2 linked regions of the Sus scrofa genome follow. The protein of the gene in region 1 purifies or fractionates together with the protein of each later gene. This does not show direct contact. Links are inferred from orthologs where the notes say so. Each region holds a gene or a part of one and is shown on either strand. Other genes may lie near its edges. The genes, in order: DMD and SNTB2.

Evidence for each region.
Region 2: the proteins of DMD (region 1) and SNTB2 purify together in Homo sapiens (co-immunoprecipitation; 4 studies listed by BioGRID and IntAct, counting the BioPlex papers as one, with this or other methods). This does not show direct contact. The link is inferred for Sus scrofa from reciprocal best matches to the Homo sapiens genes DMD and SNTB2.

The regions. Positions count from the first base shown.
Region 1 is NC_010461.5:27,385,145-27,391,898, forward strand, and holds part of DMD (dystrophin), read right to left. Parts: intron 3,695-6,754; coding exon 3,574-3,694; intron 2,954-3,573; coding exon 2,685-2,953; intron 1-2,684. UniProt on the Homo sapiens protein: Anchors the extracellular matrix to the cytoskeleton via F-actin. Ligand for dystroglycan.
Region 2 is NC_010448.4:17,770,309-17,777,734, reverse strand, and holds the start of SNTB2 (beta-2-syntrophin), read left to right. Parts: upstream 1-3,184; 5' UTR 3,185-3,238; coding exon 3,239-3,818; intron 3,819-7,426. UniProt on the Homo sapiens protein: Adapter protein that binds to and probably organizes the subcellular localization of a variety of membrane proteins. May link various receptors to the actin cytoskeleton and the dystrophin glycoprotein complex.

The sequences.
Region 1 (6,754 bases):
AAGTAGGTCTTAGGATCAAAAACAGTTGAGAGAGCGGAACTGAAGAGAAAACTGCAAAAAAGGCTGGGTAAAGGCCAGCTGATATTTGAGCTGTCCTGCTTTTAGTTTTTGTTATTAATCATGCTGCGTACATTCTCCATCCATACTCAGTATCCTACAAACACTCCTGTGTGACAGACATGGCTCAAAAAGAATCCCTTATGTCTGCTCTAAAGCCTGTATATTCAGCCACTTAATTGATTTATTGACTAATTTACTTCCTTTGGGACATTCTCTTAAGTTTATTTTCCATTTGGGGGAAGATTTGTAAAAATTTAGTTCCTATCTTTTTGCATAAAATAGGATTTTTAATGCAGAACGAATGCAAGGTAAGACATTTCAAAACATTATTTCAATTTTTATATGTACAGAAATGTTAACCATTGCTTAAAATGTTAGGCACGGGGTTGTATAATGTTCAGGTGGCAGAGATTTTAGAAATTATGTACTTAATCTTCTTTTAAATCTTCACCTACTGTTTTAATGAAGAGCTTTTCAATTCAACATTAGACTGTGGGCTTCATGAGGACAAAGATCAAGTCTGTTTCACCTATAACTACATGTTTAGCACATTTTATAGTAACTCATAAACAATTGTTGCATGGAGGAATAAAGAAGCTGAATTAAATTCCTTATATTTTGCCAGCACCGTACTAGGAACTGTGAATTCAAAGATGTACACCATGATCCTTGCTCTTAGAAATTTCACTTTCTATGGGAGAAAAAGAAATACCTAAGTGACTTGCCACAACATAGGTAAAATTGAAGTGTAACAATGCAAGTATGAGTGGGGATCTTGAAAGCACTGAATTCAGAGCAGGTTCTGCTTGGTGGGAGTTGGGGGTAGAAAACTGGGTAAACTCTAAGGACAGGGGCCTTTTGAGTTGGGTCTTGAGGGCTGAGTGGCAGTTTACCAGTAGGTAAGGTGGCCTGATCCAGGCACAGAGAACAGCATTTGCAAAGGCAGAGTGTTATGAAAAAAGAATTGCATAGTTTGCTAAAGGAGGGTATGGACAGAAGTCTGCAATGGCCTAGAGGACAGAAGCAACAATCAGAAATTTAAGCCAAGGCTATGAAGAAACAGGATCGCCTGCCTCCACTGTCATGCAGGCAGTCTCCTACACAGAGCTTGGATTCAAGTTGGAACAGAGTGGGTAATACAGAAAGAGCAAAGAAACTGTTTATTCATTCATTCACCAAATACCTAAAATGCAGTGTTTGTAATATGCCATCTACATTGACTGGGAAATGAGATTTAAGGATATGTAATACAACAAACTGACTTACAGTGTTGGGGACCGGAATGGGACATTGGTTGAAAAGAGGAGAGAAACTGTGAAGGAGATATTCTGAAGTAAAATGAGCAATCAAGTGCAGTCAATGAAAATGTACAAGGATTGAAGGATGGACCTCAAGTTTCTAGCCTGAGCAACTTGTTGGATTATGATCCATTAACTGAAATAGAAAACAGAGGAGAAGGCAGGTAAAAAGGTATATTAGTAGGGGGATGGGCTAACAGGAGAACAAATGAACTTGCTTTCAGAATGGCTGTGTTTCAATTCTAATGGCATACAGGTTAGCAGATCAGCAAAGAAATCCAAATTATAAATTTAGATCTGTCACCAACCATGCCATTTCAAACTAGGAACATTTATACATTAAGAAGAAAAGTGAGCTAAGATTTTTATACAATAAAAAGATAACCGAACTAAGGTTAGAAACCTGGGCACACTGACATCTGAAGGGTGGGTAAAGTTTCAGAATTGAGGAAAATAAAGGAAGAAGAAGAATGTAGATGAAACAGTGCTATGAAAGCCAAGGAAGAAAAGACCTTCCAGAATGAGGGGGCTGGCAAACATGCTAAGCACAGGTGAGAATATCACTTCTGAGTTTGAATCTAGAAGGACTTCCATTGGTTTTGACACTAGATAAATAGATAAAATACGTTCCAAGTTGCTGGTTTTTAACATGATACTCCTAAATATGAATATTCTTTCTTTATAAATATATTTATCAAATTTCTGCTAGAAGGGAATTTAACTTTGGTTTCATGGACAGTATTCCAAATAGAGAATGATATTTCCTAAGATCTGCGGTGGACAAATACAACTCAAAATTGCATATATACATTGCCTTCTAAGGGAAGGGCAGCATTAATGGTCTCAATTCACAGTACTTAATTCACCCAGGTCATATAATTTAGTTAGCCAATAGGCCAAAACCTAGACTCCTGGCTCTTGATTAAATGTTATCTTTTTCCCTACTCTGATACTACGATCCACAAAGGGTAAACACACACACACTCACACACACACACACACACACACACACACACACACACACACAACCAGACCACTTTAGTACACTTAGTTAATTTCCTATTAGTAAAGTCAAAATAATTTTTGCTCTATAACTTCTTAATATTTCTTTTTATATTACTGAAGACAGAGAGATGATGAGATCACTATCTTCTCTGAGAAAAAAATACATATGCCAGAAGACTCTGAATTTGCAAAAGATGGCCTTACTTTGAAAGATTAAGGGCCCTATTTTAAACTTTTTGAGATGAAAACACCGCAAATGAGTTCAGATTAGAACCTCTTTTGAGTCCCTCAAAGGCCCTGAAGCCATCCAGTAAACGGTACCTTGACTTTTTCGAGGTGATCTTGGAGGGAGTCAATGAGGAGATCTCCCACAGGCTGCCACGATCCCTTGATCACCTCAGCTTGGCGGAGTTTGAGGTCCAACTCATCCGTTGCCTCCTGAAGTTCCTGGAGTCTTTCGAGGGCCTCATCTATTTTTCTCTGCCAGTCAGCAGAGTGCAGGTTCAGTTTCTCCCACTCAGTGTTGACCTCCTCAGCCTGCTTTCGTAGGAGCCTTGTGACATTCTGGGCTCTCTCCTCAGGAGGCAGCTCTAAATTGGTAACACAACAAGGTTTTAGGCAACATTCATTTTTGTGTTTAAAAAAACCCCACTGCTGAAAAGGTCATACTGGGAGAAAGAAAGTATAGTTTAACAAGAGGCCAACTTACTGATTAATGGCTCTTTGATACTCTGGCATTTGTTTTGATACAGTTTAGCACATTTGAGTCTATCTTCCTGAGTGAATCTGTTCCACCTTCTATCAATCAGATAATCCAAGATTCATTTAAGATATTAAGTAGAAAAAATGTTAGGATGCACACCACAAGCTCTAGTTTACTTGAGGAAGGCTCTTAAATTGAAATTAGCTTGTAGTTTTTGTAACAATAAATTCCTCCTCACAGATAATCTCTTTTGTTGATTCTTTTCTAAATGTTTCAATAACTGATCGCTAATCTCTTTTAATGTTTATTTATGAATGTGCAAACAGATTTATGTATGGTGCTTTATGATTCCTTTCTCTTTTTCAACATCTATGTCTAATCTGAATCAATTCTATTTAACCTAGAAAATACAAGTGCTATTCAGACCCTGGCAGCAAGAATGGATGGGTCGCTCTGTCACCACTGATCCTTCTATCAATATGTTACCACAGTTCCACATTTAATTACCTCTGGGCTCCTGGTAGAGTTTCTCTAGTCCTTCCAAAGGCTGCTCTGTAAGAAATATTCGTACAGTCTCAAGAGTACTCATGATTACAGGTTCTTTCGTTTTCAATTCCCTCTTGAAGGCCTGGGAAATAAGATGAAAAGAAATGCTTATTTGGCTTGTGGCATTCTTTTGAAAATTAATCCTTGGTGCTCATAACTTGGTTATGAAATTCCCAGGTCAGTTTCTATCTCCTTTATTTCTAAACTGATTGTCATAAAATGATAAAGAAGGCTCAATGGATCTTTCTGGTAATCAGGAAACCAATGGGTTTGTAAAACTATTCTGGAGAGGACAGGGGTGCTTTCAAAATACATTAATGCCCTTTAATTAAGAAAAGAGTGCTTTATTTATATAACTGGACTGCCAAACTTGAACTCTGGGGCTAAAATTTTAAGATATATATTGCAAAACCCTTGCAATACAGCAATTCTAGGAGGGCTAATGAAACTTACACATATTCCATATAATGGAAATCCAGACCATAATGGGCCATTTGGGAAAACTTAGGTTGTATTGAAGGGTACAACCAATCCAATTCATAATCACCAGTCAATTCTGTCAAAATGTCTAACAATAAATATAATGATGTGTTAATAGGAAACTAAGTAGAAACTCAACACTTTCCCAAAATACCTATAACATTATTCATTGTGACTTCTTTGAAAATGGGAGAGAGGTTTTGAGGTATACTGGAGGTGAGAATTGTGGGAACAAGTTTCTATAAAAGAGTGGGCCTAGAATAGGTGTCTTGAGGTCATCTAGGTTAATCATCAATTTTCATCTCTAATCTATAATCTTCTTTGATATAGGGGATTAAAAGAAAAGCAAAATGCAGTTTCAGCCTCCAAGACATTTCTTAACCAAAAGAAGGGTGAAAACTAACATACTAGAAACAATGAAAACAATACAATTCTATATAATCAAGTGGGTTAAGAGATATCATGTGACTCTAGGATAAATGAACAGATACACTGAAACCATGGAAGATAGTTACAGATCCAGGTTCTGCAATCTCAGAAGAGATGATTTTAATGAAACTATTAAGTATCGCATAAATGCTAAAAGATCCATGTAAAAACAATAGTAATAATAATTGCCCTGATCTAGGGCTTAATTATTCATATCATTAAAAATTTCTATCCTACTTTTCATAATGTTGCCTACTGAGTTTAAACACTGTTCTGTTACTGGGAGACTAACTTGCAGTATCACCTTAAAACATAGGAGTGTTCCAGGAGTGTATGGTATGACACATTAATAAATACAGCTATAATGGTGTTCACCATTCAAAGGAATCCTGACTCTGATACTTTGCACAATGATCCATCTTCCGGAGTTATTTACAATTCGTAGAGTAAAGCAAGGTGATTAAGCCAAAATAACAAAATTCTGTAAGTGGAATATTAGGATTCAGCCTGTGGATAGGAATGTAATTTCCATATAGTGCGATATTGTTGCATCCTTGAAATCATACAGAGTTGGTGGGTTATTTATTCTGCTTACATGTAAGGCTGATTCGCCCTGCCCTGTTTCATTTGTAATCTCTTTCTGTATGTATGTGTTTGCATGTGTGTGCATACATGCATGTATATGTGTGTATACACTTCTTGTACTCCTGTATTTTTGTCAGACATCTAATTTTTCTAACTTTAAGGAAATTATTTTCTGCGGAAAGGTTCATTTGTACCATATTTTTAGTCACTTATGATGGAACATGATAATGGGAGAAAAAAGAATGTATACATGTATGTGTAACTGGGTCACCATGCTGTACAGTAGAAAAAAAATTGTATTGGGGAAATAAAAATAAAAAAGAAAATTATTGTCTTGCTTAGTCTCTCCATCTGGACTTGAAAAGAGGAAGCTGATCCCAACGTTAGTAATTATAAAAATAATAATAGCTCCCTTCATTGAACTATTATGTGTCAGTAGTTATACCAGAGACAAGAAATCCAAACTTGAATGCAAAACAGCCCTTCTTAGGTAGGAACTCATGGTATAGAGTGGAAGAGTTGAATACATAAATAACTTCAACACAATGTGGAAAGAACTATAGGTGGGCACAATATGGGAAAGGAAATTGGGAAAGACTTCCTGGAGAAGATAGTATTCACAAAGAATTCTAAAGCATGAAAAGGAGTTAGCTAGGGAAGAGCAGGTCAGAAGAAGAAGAAAGAAGATGCAAATGCAGGTGCGAAGACATAGGTGGCGTATGTAGTTTTCTCAAGTAGGCTAATGTTTCTAGAAGATAAAGTACAAATGGAAGACATGTCCAGAGATGAAGCAGGGCACAGTTATTATTTCAAACTACTTTGGACCTTTAAGTCAGGATTTGAAGCTCAATCTATGACCACATATGCCCTGCTAAGAAGTCTAGGTGTTGTCTTGCAGGTAATCAGGAGCCTTTGAAAGGATTTAAGCAGAGGACTGGTATGGGTGTTCGTGTGTTTTTCAAATAGATTTCTCTGACATTAGTACAGAACATGTATTTGAGAAGGACAGTAATGGAATCAGAGAAGACATTTAGGAGGCAATTCCAAGAATTTAGTGAAAGATAAGGAGGATCTGATCTAGGGCAATGGCATCATGGTATTAGGAAAAAAAAAAAAAGAGGAATTCCTTGGTGGTGCATTGGGTTAAGGATCTCGTGTTGTTACTGCTGTAGCTCAGATTTGATCCCTGGCCCAGGAGCTTCCACATGCCATGGGCATAGCCAAAAAAAGAAAAAAAGAAAGAAAAAGGAAAAAAAAGGGAATTCTCTTGTGGCTCAGTAGGTTAAAGATCCAGTGTTATCACTACAGCAGCTTGGTTGCTGCTGTGCCATGAGTTTGATCCCTGACCTAGGAACTTCCATGTGCTGCAGCCATGGACAAAAGAAAAGAGACAGAGGAAGAGTAGGTAAATGTTTATAGAGCAGAGATATAAGATTCTGGTGACTGAAGAGATGCTGGAGAAGAGAAAGGAAGGAACAAGGATGACTCCTAGTATCTAGGCTGGGTAGAGAAGTGAATGTAGGATGCAGTTAAACTAAATGTGAGGAGATATCCTCTCCTGGATTCTTCAATACACCTATAAAAAGTTCTAGCTTCCTGAACACCTTCCCATACCATGGGATTCAGATATGCAGTCATTTGTTTAGTT
Region 2 (7,426 bases), on another chromosome or scaffold:
GGCTGTACCTGTGGCACATGGAGGTTCCCAAGCTAGGAGTTGAATCGGAGCTGTAGCTGCTGGCCTTCACCACAGCGACAGCAACGCCAGATCAAGCCACGTCTATGACTACACCATAGCTCACAACAACCCTGGATCCTCAACCCACTGAGCCAGGATGCTGGTTGGGTTCGTTAACCACTGAGCCACGATGGAACCCCTGAACCTTGTGCTTTTAATTACCATGCTATATTGTACACCTACCATGAGGGAAAAGGGGAAAAAAAGACTTTTGAAAGAGCACAGAAGCTGAGCCTGTGTCACAGAATGAAAGGAAATTATGGAACTGGAGAGCTAATCCAACCCCCTCATTTTGAAGTAGCAGTGATACCTGCCCTGTTCTGAGAAAACAGGTAACAGCTTGAGCAGAGGAGAAAACCTACTGATAGGTGACAGGAATAAAAGGTTATTAGGAATTATCTCAGCCATTCCCTTTTTTTAGAGGTAGATAAAATAACATGCCTGTTCAAAGAATTATCTGAGCTTGTCTCGCCACCCCTAAGAAACTGTGGAAACAGATGTGTACTCCTTTTATTTCAGATTTCATTATCCACAGTAAGTAGATTTCCACTGACTACTTGAGATTTCCTAGATGGCAATTTTCACTCTGCAAGGAACCAATAACCTTCAGAGGGATTATTTGAAACGACTACAGCACAGGAGGCATTGAATTTCAATCAATCACATGTTTAATGAGTTCCTTCTCGGCAAGGCAACAACTTTGGAATAGTGGGGAACAAAAAGAAGTCAATGGGCGGTCCCTGTCCTGTATATCATAATATACTTGGACAGACAAGCAAGGCATAGAATAAAATTGTTCAAAGGGAAAATCCCAACAAAGTGAGTAGGCAGAGAAAACGGGGATGAGCTCTTGCTAGGTGGGAAAGTGAAAGGGGCAGAAAGTGTTTGGAAGGATGGACCCCAGCAGGAATGTGCAAGGCATCCTTGGAAGAGATTGACTGGATGAGTGTGGCCAATCCGAAAGGAGTGATGAAGGAGAATGTGAAAATTAAGTTCTGATGGAGGACCTTGTAAAAATGGCTGAATAGTTTAGACATTTTTTATGGATGTACTTTGAAATAATTTAAGTAAATATCCCCCAATAATCCAAATATCAATCTCTATTACCTCCCATCTTACCGGGGTTAAATATTTCATTATATAACCTACTGTCTTATGTAAGTGCCCTCCCTATTTAGGTGGAAGATCTATGATTTCCTCCAACTCTTTTGACCAAAAGGTCTTGACACTTTTGGAAAGAAATTCCAGCATTTCCCTTTTGCTAATAAAGATGTCCTCAAGTGCCCAACCTCTGGGTGATTACATATGTAAACGTGCTCGAAATGTGCTCATTCTCTAAGGAGACAGCTGCCAAGTGCTCTCTAATAAGTAGAAGTTTCGCTTAACTCAGGCCTCTGGGGGCTCCCGCCTCAGCTGGAGCAAAGCCAGAAATGTCTGTGACTGCAGGTGCACTTGGGCACATTGGGACCTGCCAGAGCAGAGAGCGGGCCTCACTGCAATTGATTGAGGAGAGGGCCAGAGGGTTGAGCTTCTGCTGATGTCTGCAGCTTGGAAAATCCCACTCCGCTAATTGCAAAGAGGATTCTGCTGTAATGATTTTTGGAGTAAGATACTTTTCTCATTTTGAATTCTTTCTTCATTTGGGCTCTGAGTGCTTACCAATCTTTCTTTTTTAAAAAAAAATTTTTTTTAATTGTTTTAATTCCTGGTATAGGAGGCTCTTTGAAAGTTTCTGCCCACACATGAGTGTGCATTAGATTGGTTCATGGACATGGCTTACGAGCTTCAACATGTACTTCATGAGCAAGCAGGTATACAGCCCCTTTCACAGGAATTGCTGCACACTCCCTCTGTTGGCACCACTGCTCCCACCCCTGCCTGCCCAAATGAAAATATGGGCATTTTGCTTTTCCTGAAAAAAAAAAAGGAAAAAGGGCACAGTGACCTCATGTTGAGATCTCTCTCAGCAGCATGATTTCTGGATCCTCACTTTTGAGGTCTAGAGTATGGTCTAGGGTGTGTATGTGTTTGTTTTAAAGCACTGGAACAGGAAACTGGGAGACCAGAGATGTTTTGTTACTTGTGGACACTGGGCCAAAGCTTTGGCTTTCTGGGCCTCAGTTTCCTCAACTCTTCAAGCCAGGAAACTGGAAGAAGCAGGTGAATTTTATCACCTACAGCTTTGGACAAAAGCTGCTGCAGGCTTTGCACTGTGTAATCAGTTTCTGGGGACGCTCATATGCACTTGCCCCAATGTAAGGCCCTGGCCTCCAGGGTAGAAAGTCAGATCTACAAATTCAATTCCAATATTTGGTTATTTGAGTCTTTTTACACTCATATCCTTATATTTCCATGGACCCTGCACTATTCACATTTGAATTCTGGCATCTTCCTAAGTAACCATCATTCTGCAAATATCTTTGAGGCCTACCTAATGTGGCTGCAGGGCTAAAGAAAACATGAACCCCTCTGGCATTACCGGTATTACAAAGCAGAATGACAAATGCTTGGATTCATGCCTCTAGACTTTTGCTTATGCAGTTCCCTCTGTTCCAGTTATTGAGCTTCCATTGTCACCTCTGTGAAACTGACCCCAGGCTCAACTACTTCTACTCCGGTCTCAGGGCTTTTTCTACATGTCACTTAACCACATAATATCACATCAGGTTGGTTGGTTCTCTTTTTTCCTCCCCTACTAAACCGCCAGCTCTCGGCTGTGGTAGTTTTGTTCATCTCACCTCCAGGCCTCAAAAGGAGCCCACAGCGGAGCATTCAGTAAATACTTACTTAGTAAGAACCAATCAATGCAAAAGTGAACTTGCAACTCGGAGGCTTTCAACTTGCAGGCTTGCAAAGTGTCTTGTGAAGCTGATTTTGCTTTCCATGCCCAGGCAGCTCTGGTGCATTAAACGGTACAGGTCAGAAGCTGGAGGGTGTAAGGGTCGGAGGCTAACGGAGGGAGAACGTGAGACCGAGCCCCACTTCGCTTGAGCTGTGAACTGCAACCCACCGGACCGCAGGCAACTCCTTAGACCTCCCGGAAGCGTCCCGGCCGGCCTCTCCCCACCGCTCCGGAAGGTGGGCGTGGCCTCTCATGAATAATGAATCACCGCGGGGGGAGGGGCCGGGCCCGCCCCCTCGGGCGGGAAGGGGGAAGCGCCTAGGCTGCCTGACTGGAATGAGGGTAGCTGCGCCGACTGCGGCGGCGGGAGCGGGGCCGGCCATGGCGGTGTGGACGCGGGCCACCAAAGCGGGGCTGGTAGAACTGCTCCTTAGGGAGCGCTGGGTCCGGGTGGTGGCCGAGCTGAGCGGGGAGAGCCTGAGCCTGACGGGCGACGCCGCGGCGGCTGAACCAGAGCCAGCTCTAGGGCCCGCGGCGGCCGCCTTCAACGGCCTCCCGAACGGCGGCGGCGCGGGCGATTCGCTGCCCGGGAGCCCGAGCCGCGGCCTGGGCCCCCCAAGTCCACCCGCGCCGCCGCGAGGCCCGGCGAGTGAGGCGGGCGCGTCACCGCCGGTGCGCCGAGTGCGGGTGGTGAAGCAGGAGGCGGGCGGCCTGGGCATCAGCATCAAGGGCGGCCGCGAGAACCGGATGCCGATCCTCATCTCCAAGATCTTCCCGGGACTGGCGGCCGACCAGAGCCGGGCGCTGCGGCTGGGCGACGCCATCCTGTCGGTGAACGGCACCGACCTGCGCCAGGCCACCCACGACCAGGCCGTTCAGGCACTGAAGCGCGCGGGCAAGGAGGTGCTGCTGGAGGGTGAGCGGGGCCGGCGGGCGGGCAGGCGGGCGGGAGGTGCTGGGCTGGCCGGCGCTCACTTTGTTTCTGCCACCCTGCCCGCTTGGCGGGGCGAGCCCCTTCCCTCCCTCCGAGCCCTCACCTTCCCTTCTGCTGGTGGCCCGGCTCTCCCCAAACCCTGTTTGCTGGGACTTGGAGGATGGAAAAACTGATGCTCCCTGCAGGAAAAGTTGGGCAGCCGCCGAAGTGTGGCTTGCAGTCCCCAAGGAAGACTCGGTTGAGATTTAGTAAAAAGCAGCCGCGCTTGAAGCCCCGCCTCTGCACTATAAGCTGACACTAAGAACTAGAGAGGGACGGAACGGAGTTCTGGAGGTCTCGGTTTGCCTCCTGAGAAGTGCCGAGTTGGCTGTTTCTTCATTCACCTCTGGCTTCCCAGGGCGGGCGGGTCTGTTAAAAAAAAAAAAAAAAAAAAATTATCCAGTCCGATGCCAGCGGTATGCTTGGGCAAACCCTCGAAACCCTGGTTAATTTATGGGAATTTAACCCATCATTGGCTCGCAACAATAACCAAAGGAGATCCTAGCACTTCATTGAAGCCAGAAAGCTGAAACAGCAAGTTCGTGTGGTTAATGAGCCTTATTTAACAGTGAAGGCTCACGTGTTTGAACATTTACTGCCAACTAGAGTTTTGCCCTTTTTTTAGGAGACTGGTGCCAGCTTCCTACCATTCACAGGCGTCCTGCTTCAAGGCTTTAAGCTTATTAGAAGCCTGAAATGTTAAATCTCAAGTCATGTTTGAATAGCCAGGATTGTTATTTACTTTAAATATGTATGTGACCTGGGTCGTCTTTGATGAATTTATGAAATTAAGGCAAAATTAAATATCATCTCCTTAATGGACTCGTGCATGTTGGAGGTAATACTGCTTTAGAAATTTTTGAGCAGTTGGCCTTCTTTCACTGTGATTCAGTAGTTCAAAAAGCATTTATTGCTGGCTGTATAGAAGAGAACATAAAAGGTGATCTGCCTCTATTTGGTGTCTATTTGGGGAAATGATAGAAAAATGCAAAAACAAAAAACCCTTCAAGTTATAGATTGTATAGTGCAAACTATATAATTGCCACAGGAAATGCAAAGTTATGCAGTAGTTAGTGGAAATTGGATTTGTCAGGGAGCAATTTTTCAAGGAGTTGAATCTTGAGCCAGGTCTCCAGGGAAGTGATAGACATAGGCTGAGATGAGTCAGGAGGGTATTCCTGGCAGAAGAACAGAAGGGAAGGGGTGGGGAGAGTAGGAAGGGACCAATTGTCAAACTGAGAGGCCAGAAACCCAGTGGGCAAAGTGATCTTCACTTTTTTCCAAATCCGCTGGTAAATGTCTGGGAAAATGTTCATTTGCAAGTAAATGATTTAATGTGCTCCAATTGTGGAATTCCAGTGTCTCACCTTTGTAATATCCTATTTATATTTCTCTCAGGTGAGGCTAGACACTACTCAGAATTTAGTGTTAATAAAGAGAGTAAAATTATAGATTGTGGTTTTGGTGGTGTGTGTGTAAAAAAACATTGTTACCATGAATGTGTACCTTGAAACTGAACTAGCTAAGAATTTGGTAATAAATTCTTAAAGCCAGACTATTGAATGTGTACTATGTATATGGTGCTCAGTGGTGATGGGCAGACATTTTAACTCTCTACCCCATATTTTTTAAAAATCGAGGGTTTTTTAAGATATAATTTGAACCTGGTATTCATACCAATTAAATGAAAATCATCTAGTAAATGCTTCCCAGTATTCATTAGTCTAAAACAGACCACATGTGCTTTTGAGAGGGTTTACAAATAGCAGCCTGACATTTATTTACTGAATGCCTATTTACCTAACACACAGGTTCTGCTTTATTTTCCCATTTTGTAAAAGACAAGTAGTTTTTGTTCTTACATGTGTGGGGAAGTACGAAATTGAACTTTCAAGCCTAGGGATATAAAAATAAAATTACTTAGAATAATGCAAAATCACCGAAAACAGTGATTTAATTGAACCAGTCAACCATTTAAAATTAAGAGCTAGTTGTTCCATCCAGGTAGGCCACTATTAAAAGATAGATTTTATGCTTAGCCCTTAAAGTTTTGGAACTATATGGTCCTTCCATTATATATCTCACAGCCTGAAAAACTGCTTTAACATAGCGCAGTGATGGTCTTTTGTGGTGTAGGTAGGGGATTTCAGGCAAGCTCTTGCCACCCCAAAGCAAAGCAAAGCTCTAGCCTCCGGTTGCCGTGGTTAGGGAATTGAGTGAGCTAAAGGATTCTTTTTCATCTCGGGTTTGTAGGGATTTTTCATTCATACAGAAATCATCTATTCAACTCTACCACTTCCAGAGGCACTTGAAGATAGTGCCTGTTTTCTGCCCTCAGGAAGTTGGGAGTTGAGAGAGAGTTAAAGAGATAATACAGCTTGGAACTCCCTTCTTGGCTCAGCTGTTACGAACCCGACTAGGATCCATGAGGATGCGGGTTCAATCCTTGGCCTTGCTCAGTGGGTTAAAGATCCTGTGTTGCCATGAGCTGTGGTGTAGGTTGAAGATGTGGCTTGGATCCTGCGTTGCTGCGGCTGTGGTGTAGACCAGCAGTTGTAGCTCCGATTCACCTTGGAACTTCCTTATGCTTTGGGTGTGGCCCTGAAAAGCAAAACAAACAAACAAACAAACAAAAGATAGATAATACAGCAAAGGGCTAAAAGTGCTGTTGGTTTTGGGGGTTTTGGGTTTTTTTTAATTTTTAAAAATTTTTTTGTCTTTTGAGGACCACACCCTCGGCATATGGAGGTTCCCAGGCCTAGGGGTCCAGTCAGAGCTGTTGCCACTGGCCTATGCCAGAGCCACAGCATTGCCAGATCCAAGGCGTTGCCAAATCCTTAACCCACTGAGCGAGGCCAGGGTTCTAACCGGCAACCCCATGGTTCCCAGTCAGATTGTTTCCACTGCTCCATGACAAAACTCCTAAAAGCACTGTTGCAGTGCAACTCTGGAGCAGGCACATCACATAAGAAGGAAAGATTCGTGGGGATCAGAGGTTGAGGATGCCCAGGAAAAGTTTGATGGAGAAGTTGAAGTTCAAATTGAGCTTCTTCCCTAAAGAGAAAGCTGCTTTCGGTTCAGAAGTAAGTAAAAGACCTGAAGAAGTTATTCTGCCCACTGAGAGTAGAGTACAAATGAGGACTTTGTGGTCAGCCAGACCTGGGCATGTTTCTGGCTAGTGGTTTGTAACCCTAGGCAAGTTACTCAACCTTGCTACGCCTTCGTTTCCTCATCTGTAAAACCAGGATGGTAATAATACTCCTCACAGGGTTGTTATTCATTTGACAGTTTATGTGCTGGGAGCTTTTTTGAGGACTGGGAATGCAGCAGTAAACAGCCATAATGAAAACAAAGTCTGAATGAGGAAGGTAGGGCTGGGGCCTGAAGGTGTGCTGCAAGTTAACAAAGACTCTCAGAATAGCCAGGGTAACAAGTTGTTAAAATCCAAGGCTTCTTTTTCCTTGGAAAAAAAATACATGATAAGAATAAGAATTGTTTCAGGTGAGTAGATTAAGAATGAGTTTGCATTTCTTACATGTAAACACCTTTTC